Neodiprion lecontei: one gene and its partner. The protein of the gene in region 1 interacts with the protein of each later gene in a pairwise test. Links are inferred from orthologs where the notes say so. Each region holds a gene or a part of one and is shown on either strand. Other genes may lie near its edges.

The links.
Region 2: the proteins of electron transfer flavoprotein subunit alpha, mitochondrial (region 1) and electron transfer flavoprotein subunit beta interact in a two-hybrid assay, tested with the Drosophila melanogaster proteins (2 studies listed by BioGRID). The link is inferred for Neodiprion lecontei from reciprocal best matches to the Drosophila melanogaster genes wal and Etfb.

Annotation. Positions count from the first base shown.
Region 1 is NC_060266.1:26,572,697-26,580,801, forward strand, and holds electron transfer flavoprotein subunit alpha, mitochondrial, read left to right. Parts: upstream 1-2,011; 5' UTR 2,012-2,109; coding exon 2,110-2,151; intron 2,152-2,411; coding exon 2,412-2,744; intron 2,745-2,844; coding exon 2,845-3,297; intron 3,298-3,450; coding exon 3,451-3,627; 3' UTR 3,628-5,091; intron 5,092-6,784; coding exon of another isoform or gene 6,785-6,790; 3' UTR 6,791-7,596; downstream 7,597-8,105. Other genes in the region: 6-pyruvoyl tetrahydrobiopterin synthase, read right to left, coding at 901-1,178, 1,286-1,365, 1,447-1,514.
Region 2 is NC_060266.1:1,976,013-1,980,479, forward strand, and holds electron transfer flavoprotein subunit beta, read right to left. Parts: upstream 2,650-4,467; 5' UTR 2,530-2,649; coding exon 2,479-2,529; intron 2,201-2,478; coding exon 1,802-2,200; intron 1,624-1,801; coding exon 1,312-1,623; 3' UTR 852-1,311; downstream 1-851. Other genes in the region: protein UBASH3A homolog, read left to right, coding at 1-80.

The DNA.
Region 1 (8,105 bases):
GCTGTCGGAAATTTTTTATACCTGCGACTGATTGTTGAGGATTACAAAGATTTTATGTGCGCAATTGTATTTTACACGCATTTATAGGTAAATAGACTCGAAAACAGCATTTTATGAGCATTCGAGCATGTGATAGAAGTATATACCAAAAATATACAACATATGTAAAGCTATATGATAATACAGTATAATTGTTACATGTAGCATACTTATATGACGTATAACACTAATCGTAAGTGCGAACAAGTAATTGGAATACGAAATAGATGTAATGCTAAATTCGGAATGTAATAGTACGTATACTATTTTTCCTATTAAGTTGCGCAAAGTCCGACCACTACAATTATTTTGAATAATTGAAACTTATTTTTGGGCGAAGCCCCCCGCCCAAAACAAAAAAACAAATTATAGAACTATTATAAATTTATTAAATTAAGAAAAATCTGATTTATTTATTATTTTCAATTATTATTAATATTTATCGTAACGTGACAATTTACAAAACGAAACGGTATATTTTAACGAACGTCAAAGTATCGCTCGCACGTGTCAATGCTAAGAGAGTGCCGCAGAGATGGCGCGCGCGTATATACCTTGGAATCGCTCGTATACTCTTATACATTCCCGCACGCTCAGCTACATCCCCGTTCGCTCAGTTGCATTCCCGCACGCTCTTGTCAACGTGTGGGAAAGCGGTACTTTGCGAACGCAAATGCATGCGCAAAATCGAACTTTGCGCAAGATAATAGGAAAAATTTCTTAATATCATTGATTAAGTAATAACGTACTTAAATTGTTGATCTGTGATTACTGTCATGTTCTCGAAAATATATTATTTCATATGCACATAGGCATATGCGCCCCTTTATAAAACGAACTCTTATCGATTGGCTCCAATAATTATTCGCCTCTATAAATTACAATATTTTTATCAGTTTCATATATTTTTACCTCGTACAATAAATCAGGTTTGGGCATTTCTTTCTTCAATTCATCGAAGACAAAAATAGCTACATTCTCTGTTGTCGAAACAACGTGCTTGAAATATGGCACATCTTTATCCAAATTTTTATGATCTAATTTATCCATCAACACATTTTTCATGTAAATTTTCAAATCGGAAATATTCATTACCATTCCAGTTTTTTCATCCACAGGACCTCGCACTGTGACCTCCACTGAAAAAAGAAAAAAAACATGAGTTGTGTATCGAAATTTTTTAATTACGCATTGAACAACTATAGTAATAATTATAGTACTTCAAGTAGATGCGTATGTTTTTTACCGGTGTAATTGTGTCCGTGCCCCCAAAAATTGTTACACTTTCCGTAAACTGCTGCATTCTGCTCGTCGGTCAAGTGTGGGCTTAAAAAATTTCCACGTTATTAATTAGTGGCATGCGTGCTTAATTATTGCGTCATCATTCATTTTTATATTATCGAATACCTATGAAGGCGATGGCAAGCAGATATTGTTTCTTTCCTGGTCAAATACACAACCGGCACTTGCGTCATGTCCTATTTATTTTAGATCGATATTATTACTTATTGTCGCACGTGACAACACGTTAAAGATGCTGAAGATTTGTAAGGAAAGTTCAAGGTGGCCTATGGCTGATTGAAAAAATGATCTGCGTATGTACAGTAGGTACATATGCTTATACACGTACGTGATTTACTTTTTATTATTTCGCTGGCATTCCCGACGTCGCAATATCCTGCAGTTGATTGATCTTGCTAAATCTGATTTCACAGTAATTACAACAGCGTTCGAATATTACATTAATATATGCTAGAATTGGGTAACTAAGTAGATACAGCTGGCGATTCACAGCTAGTTTTATTCACCGACTCTTTGCCGCCATGATGGAAAAAGTAGAGCTAGAGACCTCTGGCCGAAGCCCGTCGGTAAGCCGTAAGAATATCGTCATCACGTACGTATGTACCATATATCGGTCTATGTACATACATAAAACAAACTTTGGACTTGCCTATCAACTTTGCCACCGTGCTCCACTTCTTGCAACGCACAACAGTCGAGTGAGAAGTATTGCAAACTGAGACATATTTGGCAAACCTTATTTTCGTCAACCGTTGGAATAATTTCAAAATGTTTGTCAACTGTTCCCGTACGATCAGACACAAAACTCAGGTGAGCCAAACTTCAATGAAAATTGATAATTGATCAGTGCACAATTTCAAGTAGGTTGTATTAAATTTTTAGCTTCCTCTATCTTTACTACAATACTTATATAACAATTTTCTATTATGTTAATTTGATTGCCTCATCACGAGATTGATGTAATAAGCGAACCGTATCTCTTTACTCAATTACCTGATATGTTAAAATAATGTTTGGTTGTTTGAGCATCTAGGAGTTGGCCAAGTTTTATGTGAATTATCATCTTCCAGCTGAACAGTTTTTTGCAAAGATATCAATCGACTTTGGTAATTGCTGAGCATAATAACGAGGCTCTGTCGACGATAACCCAAAATGCATTAACCGCAGCCAGGCAAATCGGTGGGGATATCACTGTCTTGGTTGCTGGCACAAAGTGCGGGCCAGTAGCGGAGGCTGTATCCAAAGCTAACGGCGTAGCTAAGGTTTTGGTTGCCGAGAACGACGCCTTCAAGGGATTCGTCCCTGAAGCCATAACACCGCTGATATTAGCTACCCAAAAACAGTTCAACTTCAGCCACATTCTCGCAGGTGCCACAGCATTTGGAAAGGCTTTGCTGCCAAGAGTGGGTAGACAAATAATGAATAATTGCAGATACGAACAATATCCAGTCAGGGTGTTCGATAACTGAAGTTTAATATAAATAAAGATAATATAAATTTTAGGTAGCCGCCAAACTAGATGTTTCCCCGGTGAGTGATATAATCGGTGTTAAATCACCAGACACGTTTGTGAGAACAATATATGCGGGCAATGCTATACAAACTGTGAAAGCTAAGGACAGCGTAAAAGTTGTTTCTATTCGAGGGACTTCTTTCGAGGCAGCGCCTCTAGAAGGAGGGAGCGCCAAGCTAGAGCCAGCACCAGCGGGTGATTATAAGTCTAATTCGGTCGAGTTTGTAAAGCAAGAACTGACAAAGTCCGACAGACCAGCGCTCGCTTCTGCCAAAATTGTCATCTCTGGTGGGCGTGGGTTAAAATCCGGGGAAAACTTCCAGCTTCTGTACACGCTTGCCGATAAAATGAACGCAGCCGTTGGTGCTTCTCGTGCCGCAGTTGATGCTGGATTTGTACCGAATGACTTGCAAGTTGGACAGACTGGGAAAATTGTAGCGCCGGTGAGCTTACACAGATGTTCTGTTGAGATAATATTCCAATTTGAAAAAATTATACTCCATCCCAGATTGCTGAGCGATAGATAATTTTTGATTTAGTATGAAATCGATAAGACTTGGGAGGCGTCAAATCTATGAAAACGGTTTTACTTGCAGGACCTCTATGTCGCCGTGGGTATCTCCGGAGCGATTCAGCATCTTGCTGGAATGAAAGATTCAAAAACAATCGTAGCGATAAATAAAGATCCGGAAGCTCCTATTTTCCAAGTCGCTGATTACGGCTTGGTAGCAGATTTGTTCAAAGTGGTACCAGAGCTTACCGAGAAGGTGTAAATTACGCAGATACTAACGGCGTTGTTTCAAAAAAGGAAATCAAAATATCTTCCATAGGATTCGGTCATTAAACAAAGTTATCTAAGTCTTGTATATTTCAAAAAGCTACCAAGTTTCCGTGTGAGTACTATTTTGACAAGCGCTGTCTCTTATAGTAATTCCTATAATATTATTACATATCGTATCAAATAATATTTACACATTGATATGATTATCGCATGTTTTCTCGTGAGAAACGATGACTGGTAATTCGAGAAATAGTTGTGAGAACTCGAGCTCCTTTTGCAAATGCGTATCTTAACAAAATGGAAGATTACTTTATCATATAATAATGTAAATCATTCTTATACATACTTTTCGCTACAAAGTTGTGATTGAATGCGTTTATATAGTATGTCCAAATGTACAAAGATTATTCTCAACTTTTATACTTGAAGCTAAGAATTTGTTAAATGCTATAAAATAACTGACGAAAAAAATCTAGGTATATTATTTCAATAAATCTTTATCCGTCATGCAATTTCTATGGCATTGTTAGAAACTACGTAGAACTTTTACGAACGTAGAATTTCATCAGTGACAGGCAATGACCGGTTTGATATTTATTTCCATAAGCTTGGACACTTAGAACCACACGGTATATGCAAGCACAACGAATAGAATAGACGTCGAGGAGATTGTAGGTAGGAGGTAGAAGTCGGTAGGCAGAGGAAAGCAAAACAACGCGGGAGAAAAATTCTGCATGCGGATTGCGAAGGTCGTCTTTGTTAAAGTACGTTGCACTTATGCCGCATCATTGTCGTAGTTCCCCGTATATCGTATATGCACAGGCATACGTGTATTCCGCTCAAGCGCGTGCGCAAGGGGAGGAAGAATAAAATGTAAAACGAAATTGCGAAAAGAGCTTGCAATATGTTCGTAAGTTATCATTTTCTACCCAGTAGTCGAATCAAATGAAACTTGATCAACAAACGCGATCGGAACAATGTGCGTATTTACAAATTGGCAAGTCAAACCTCTAAAGTTCTCAGTTTGCAATACTACAAATTTTTCAACCTCTGTTACTACTCTTTAAAACTCTGTAGTAATAAATAAATGAACAAGCAAACCGTCCGGAGAGAAGTTGGAGAAGGTTAAACACGAGGCAGAAATCTCTTGTCAATGCCGTCCAGTTTGCAGATTTGCCAATGCTCTCACGCATTTCAATGCACATATATGTACCACACGCGCACAGTCTTGCGCTTTGTACGTGTTGCGCACAATGACGAACAAATTTAAGGTGGTGACTCGTGGATAACGTTAGGTAGTCGTGTTTAAATGAAAGGGAAAGCGCAGTTTGTGAATCGAGTCTCAGAACGAAGTTGAAGCCCGGTGCTCCTGCAACTGGCACCTGCGCAGTTCTACGACGCAGGTCGCAGTTCTAGTCCCGGGTGATTGAAAGTCGGCTGACTTATTCGATTTATGGTAGGTACACGTGGTTTATCCGTTTCTTCTATTTCTATTTCTATTCTTCCTCTCAGTCTTCACTCATCTCCACCTTCGACCTAACGTCTTCACCCCATTGTCAAATGTCATATCCACATGCGTGGTTGAAAATATTGCGATTAATTATAAAAAAAAAACATTTTAGTGTGAACTATGATTCTACGTGTAGGTAGACGAAAATTTTCGATCAAGTCATAGAAACAGATTTGCTTCTTGGGGTTAGGTGCGTGCTTTGACCCGCTCTCGAGTGTCGAAGTTTTGAATAATCGCAGCTTTTCTTCAGTCATCCTTGAATGCAACTAATGTTTGTTTTAGAACGCTTTACTGCAATCTGGGTAATTCAGCCGGGGAAATTTTCTAAATCTTCGCTTTTGTTTCACTCACCGCTGCGTAGATCGCTTGTGCCAAACAGGTTTTTATTCCCCAAGGTCGTGCGGCTTCCTATCTTCCTCGCGTGTTTTTCACTGTATTGTTATTTTTGCCGAGTTGATGGCGCGGATGTATCTCGGGCCGATTACATCAGTTTAAATGTTGACGAAACGCCGGACCTAATACTGATTCAGGTTTGGAGGTCATCCGTAATCATTTTTTAAACACAAAAGTCTCTCGCAACTTTGTGCTCATCTCACAAATTCATACCACAGCCGTCACTTCAGTCGTGAAAAAGTTTAGCAGTTTCGGATAACCTGCACGATTGTAATTCATCGCTATTGAAAGTAAGTCAGTGAAGTTGGTGGCCTTGTACTCTCAACGTGATGTAATTTCAAAGTGTGTCAGTTTGACTCGGCGTTGATGCTGCAGTTTGAAATTGAGTTTGAAATCGTCCCTCGCCTCGTGTCATTATTCGATAACCGTAAATTCCGATTCGCTTTGTTCGTATATACGTACATAACTCTCTTGACTGTCTCTCGACAATGCATGCGGCCAAGTTAACGAGATTGCGGCAAAGAAAGTGAAATTTTTCCAACGTTTGCGCAATCGACCCGTAATAGGTCTATTATTTAACTTGGGATTGTTGTAAAGTTGATCAAATACAGTGCTCTACCTGATTGTCAGCTTACTCATCTCTCCGTCGTACAGGTATCCCGTCGAAAATAACAGCATTACTCTATACTTGCGAGAGGCCCAAACAATTCGAGCCAGTTCATGTCAAGCGTAACAGGTGCAATAACATCTACTTTGCATTGTCGAGTGTGTGTCTTACCCCGGTAAAATTGACGTCACGTTATTAATTGCAACACAAGTTGTGAAATTTGCATAACGCGGAAGCTGGAATATCTTTCATTTAGCTTGTGATTCTTGCCAGAAATTATTTGAAACACCGAAGCGACTTCCATTGCGTCTTTTATACTCTTCTATTCGTTCTCGTACATTGCATATGCCGTAAAAAAGTGAAAACAACTCCGAATATTGTAGGTGCCTGTGTGTGTCTGTGGTATTTCAAGTGAGTTGTTCTTCCGATGCTTCATAATTTTAGGAAATTTGTAAGGTATGACGAACCAGCTGCACCTCCCATTATTTCCACTCACATTTTAGTCAAGTTTCATATTCTCGTGTAGGTAGACGAGAAAAATGCGATAGCTCACTTGAAAATTACGACAACAATTTAAAGTAATTATTATGTTGTTACTGCAGATTCAAAATGATTAAAATTTGTTGTAAATTGTTTCAGAATTGATTAAAATTGGATAGGAGAATATTTCAGTGGACAATGAACCGGAGGAACTTGTATAAACAGTAAAATACATAGAAATGGCTGTGAAAATTTAGACGTCGTCGCCCAGTTGAACGGAGACGTCAGAGCATCATATCGCATTTAATGACACCGAGCAACAGGGGCGGGGGGAGGGGAGGGAGTCCTTTAAACGTCAACGGCGAAGATTAGTGGTAGGAATTAAGAGTGGTAGGATAAATAAGGATCAAAATAAGCAGCGAAACAGTACATATCTACGACAATCAAAATGCTCGAGCCAGTGATAGGAATATCTCCAATTTGGTGGCTACTAGCTTACGCTAGCGTCTTGTTATTACTATCACCTTTGGTTTTACTTGTAGTATTGTTTTTGCCAAATTTACCGATTCTTGTGCTGAGAAGAATGTGTTACATACCAGTGGAGCCGATATAACCATTTCACTGAAGCTATAAGCGATCCCGAATGGAAACAAGCCTTCAGTGTAGGTATCTACCGGATTCCTAGATACACATACTGAGTTTTTCAATAGATTGACGAAATCTGCAGTAAACTCTGCTCTCTGCAGTCCCTGGACATTGAAGAAAGTGGTGTTAACTCGATCTGCATTCAAGATAGAATCGTACGCGATAATCCATGTAATACAAGATAGGTTTGATATTACTGCACTTAATATTAAACGTTTGTACACAGATTATGTAAATATTCGTGTAAGATATTGCTAACTCCAGTTAAAGAAAAAAAAACGAAGAAAATATATTTGTGTAAAATAAATCATTTATTGAAGATCAAACGAGCAACAATACTACCTGTTTCATCTTTGGAAGGGGTCGATCTTTTTTTGAGTATATCTCAGGAAACGATTACGATTGATTCACGACGACCTCGGAAGTGATTTAAAACGGGTTTGTAAATGCATTTTTTTCGGATCTTTCGAGTATGCGTCATATCCTGGTATGCACGATGCGTGACATACATCAATATATCTATACCCATAAATTGTATACTTCTGTATGCGGATTTTCAATATCTATTCTCGCTTTGTCACTTCGCATTTACGGTCAATTCTTTCAATGCGTTATAACCGGCCGAACCGGATCGCCAAGAGTCGTAAAATTATTTTTCACGTATCATCGCGTGGCCGTAACTCGGAGACAGTGAACCACGCTCGCATACACCACAGGCCGTGATGGCCAAGCTAACCTCATCGTCCGCTACCAAATGGAATATCAACTAGCCTGATATTATTAGAGCAGAATTTTAAGAGCCATTTAGAGATTCAGAATCTCCGAATCGGTATTT
Region 2 (4,467 bases), about 25 Mb from region 1:
GATGGCAATTGCATCCACCTCCGTTCCCTCCGCTAACGCACACCAGCAATAGTAGATTCGACTGGAAAATATTAACGTAAATATGAATTATTTAGTATTCCTTTTCGCGACGGATGAAGGAAAACCTTTTTAACTTGATAACGTTCACACTCCTCACGTATTGATCTAATACTAGAGAATATCGCAAAGACTGCTACGATACGATGAATCGGTTAGATCTGATCGTTACTTGCAAGAAATTATACAACGTTGCAGTTTGCATTAGAACTACGATTACTTGTATTGTGAAATTGTATTTTCGTCCCTCCTTCCCTTCCAATTCCTGAATAGTTTTCTTGAACAACTCGTTAAATCTTATTGAAAAAAGTATTAGTTATTTAGAACTTATGTATTTATTAATCGTTACTGTACTAGCTACAGTCGGAGATATGTTTCTTCGTGAATTTTACTATTATATAAATGTAAATGTATGTATACATATTTGTTGTTATTACGGGTATCGCGGGCTTATATTTACTGGGTTAATTGTTGTTGGTTGTTATTGAAAGTTATTATGAATCTGGTGTAAGCGATCTAAATTTTAATATTCGTGACATTCCTGAATTTCTCAGTGTTTTAAATCAATTCATACGCGACATCTGAAATTCATTTCTCGTTTGTTGACAACAGTTTACCATTGTTGTTAAACTTGATGAATTATCCATGAAAAGGTTTCACCATCAATTATGATGAGATAAAAAACAATTTCGAATCAGAATCTATGCGACTTTTGATCGTAAAATTAGGGACTACTAACTTTTACCTTACCTTAGACACCCCATAATCATTACTAAATTTTAATGTACTAGGTGTGATAATTCAATTCTATATATTTACTGCTAAGTTGACCAAAGAGAATGATACATAGTACATTATAATTTCTGTATGAAAATATTTTATCTAAAATATACAAACATGCAAAAAAAACAAACATGAAAATCATGACGTCGGGGGAAACCCACATGTCTAACTTCCAACACACCGATATTAACCAACGATTCAACATTGTATAAATTTATTAATCTTCAGTCTGTACAATTGGTAATATTGAAATATTTTTTATTTTTTTATTTTTATTTTAGTTTCATATTAATTCCCCTCTTTGAAGTAAAAATATTATCCTTGATAAAAAAACGTAGAAACTCCTCTATTCGGTAGTTGCGATTTTTTTCACTAAGAACTGGCAGTTTGTATTTTATATAATTCTTGTAAACAACGATCTCTAGCTGTTTCATATTTTTCTTTGTCCATTTTCTTTATGCCAAAATTGGGTTAAATGTGTCCACCTTCCTTCAGCTTGGCGACCAAAGCGTCTACGTCAGGTAGAATCGATCCTGCCTGTCTAACAGGTGGATCTTCGACAGAAATAATATCAATTCTTGGCGCGGTGTCAACGCCAAGATCCTTGGGGCTGACTTTCTTTATCGGTTTCTTCTTTGCCTTCATTATATTTGGTAAAGTAGCATAACGCGGCTCGTTGAGACGCAAATCAGCGCTCAAAACCGCTGGTGTTTTGACTTTGATCACCTCCAGACCACCGTCTACTTCGCGCGTTATCGTTAACTCGCCAGATCCGTGTTCAACCTAAGAAAAGAAGAAAATTCAATCTGACAAAAGGATTGAAAATGATTTACGACACAAGTAAAACGTTATCTTCTCTGTCTGCGTTGTGCAATTCACCGGTTACATAACATCTTGCGACTTTGAGAATAATTGCCTGGCGGTGTATGGAACAAATTAACAGGGTAAAACTGGCAAATACTTTGCTGCAAAATGTTCCAGCTGGCCAGTCGAGAACGGCTGCAGTCATCTGAGCAGTCTGATTGGCGTCGTCGTCGATAGCCTGCTTGCCCACGATCACGATGTCTGCCTTCTCGTCCTGAGCGAGTTTGGCAAGTATTTTAGAGACGTGAATGGGCTGCAGGGTATCGTACTCCGCACCAGCGACCTCAACGTGTATTCCCCGATCTGCACCCATCGCCAAGGCGGTTCTTATAGTTTCTTGAGCTTGTGGAGGGCCACAGGAAACCGCTATGATCTCCGAGGCAAGCTTCTTCTCTTTCATTCTCACAGCCTCCTCTATCGCAATCTCATCGAAGGGGTTCATCGCGTGCTTGACGCCATCGGTTACGACGCCAGATTTGTCCGGCTTCACGCGAATCTGCGGGGATCAGTCCGAAGGTTGCGAGTTAAATCATACAAGGGACGAAGCGCTGGTGGATTGGTTTTACAGTTCAATAAATTAGAAAAAAAAACTTAACATCTGCGATAAGTATTGCAAATACAAGGCAGAGTTCGATTAGCCAGATGGACTTTGATCCCATAGTGGATCCCATAGTGGAATTAAGGTACATCATTCATTTGACAACTACGTGTTGCAGTTTTGCCAGGTTTTTACAGGCAGTTAATTAGTGGCTGAGGAGAGTTATTTCCACTTACCTTGACCGCGTAATCGATCACTCGCTTAACGCCGACCAGAACTCGAGCCATTTTTGATAAACACGTCCACGGCTTTCGCTGATTTAATCAAAGATATTCACACCGCTCGGTTAGTTGTAAGGGTCTGATACTCTGATCCAGACCAAACAGCGCTTTGAGCAGCTGTGGCTCGAGTAAGAGGGGGAAATAGGGAATTGGTTACATCACGACAACGAGAGTAAAATATTCGTCATATGTGGAGTAAGAGGAGTAATAAGGGATTCGATTCGATGCGATCGGAATGCACAGCGATGCAACAATAAATTCGATTAATTAGGACATCGTCAGTCGTGAATATTTACCTTGGCGAACTCCAACCGCTCTGAAGAACTAACGAATCGTCGATTCCACGCTTGATGCCAGCCGTGTGATCTGTTTACGATTTGAATCACCGATGATGCGTAGAGTACGGATGATGATGATTTTTAGAGACAGCTTTTTTTCTCTTTGCAGCTTCTTCCTTTCGAAATGTATCACGTGATAACGCATTCGAATTCAGACTCGTCTGTGTTTATTGATTTTTCTCTCAATTTGTGAGATATTAATGTTTACACATATTTAATGCAGCCGGCTTATTTCGTCCGATCAACTCTACACCGCGCGGAGTCAGAACACAGGGAAAAATCATTATTAGAGGCGTTTTTACCGGCGATAAAACACTTTTCGTTCGATCAATTATTGTTTGGAAAACGTTTCTTCCTCACATTGATGTTCTTTTTTTTTCACGAGCGTTATTTACCTTGCAGATATATTCACAGCGGTGACAGAACGTTCCGGAACACACGACGAGCGTTGACAAGTTCACTCGGATAGCAAATCTGTTGTCGTAATGGAGAAGAAATATTACGCAGTGGATTAAAATATCTGTATTTATGAAGCGGATCGACACGATTAATCATTATTTTCTATTATTCTGTCGTTGTTTACGACACAGAACAAACTGAAGGCGTCCCGGTGTTTAAACGCTACGAGAATGAGGCTGAACTTAGTCACGTTAACGTAGAAGAAACGTTGAAACAAAACTTGTTATTCTGCAGCTTCGGAAAACGACTGAAGGAGTTGAATTTACAAAATGTGAGTACTTACGTTTTACTGAATTTCAGGTAACTCTAAGCTAGCAAAATAGCGAGGTTTTTCTCGATAATACATCGTTACAATAACGCTACAAACTTCTACCTGATTTGCGAAACGTCTCGTGATACACGCGACGCGACGAGCAGTTGTGTTCGAGACGCCGAAGCCACAGGTTGTCGTTTGTAGTTGTGTAATGTGGGTGAGATTTTGAAAATATAAACTGTTGCAGCGGTGAAAAGTTGTGAAGTTTGCAGCGAGTGAAAATCGCCTAGCAACAACGGAGCAAATTTGTGCATTTCCTGCCTAGCAACAGTGGAAGAACCAGCATCATTGCATCTCAGCAGCAACATAGTAAGTACGACAAATATGAAATGTGTTAATAAGATATATACCGCGTGACAAAGATTTATTATTACGTCGTTCACTTATCGTCCGATTGAAGAATAATCTTACGACCTACTCAATTGTTAATCCTTGATTATTGTCGAGGAATGTCGGTTCGTTTTTTTTTTCTGCTGGCTTTTCGTGATATCGGTTACTTTGTATTTTGTTTCCGATAATTCTCCACCACATTTTGCAGTACTGCAATCACGTATTAATATTTCCGATTACTATTTTTCGGAAAATAGATAAGTGAAACGGAAAAACGTTATACGAAAAAAAGGAAACAGGCACTTGATGTAGATCAGTTTGTGTATTTATTATTGATTTCACTTTTCAAGGGTACACAACTCTGATATCAGAGACGAATATATTAAATTTGCGAACAGAATTTATATCTATGATCCCGAACGTATCATCCGTATACGTTTCAAATTATCGTTTAAATATTTTCATTTATGACATATTTTTTGTTTCATCGTTTTCATTTTCCTT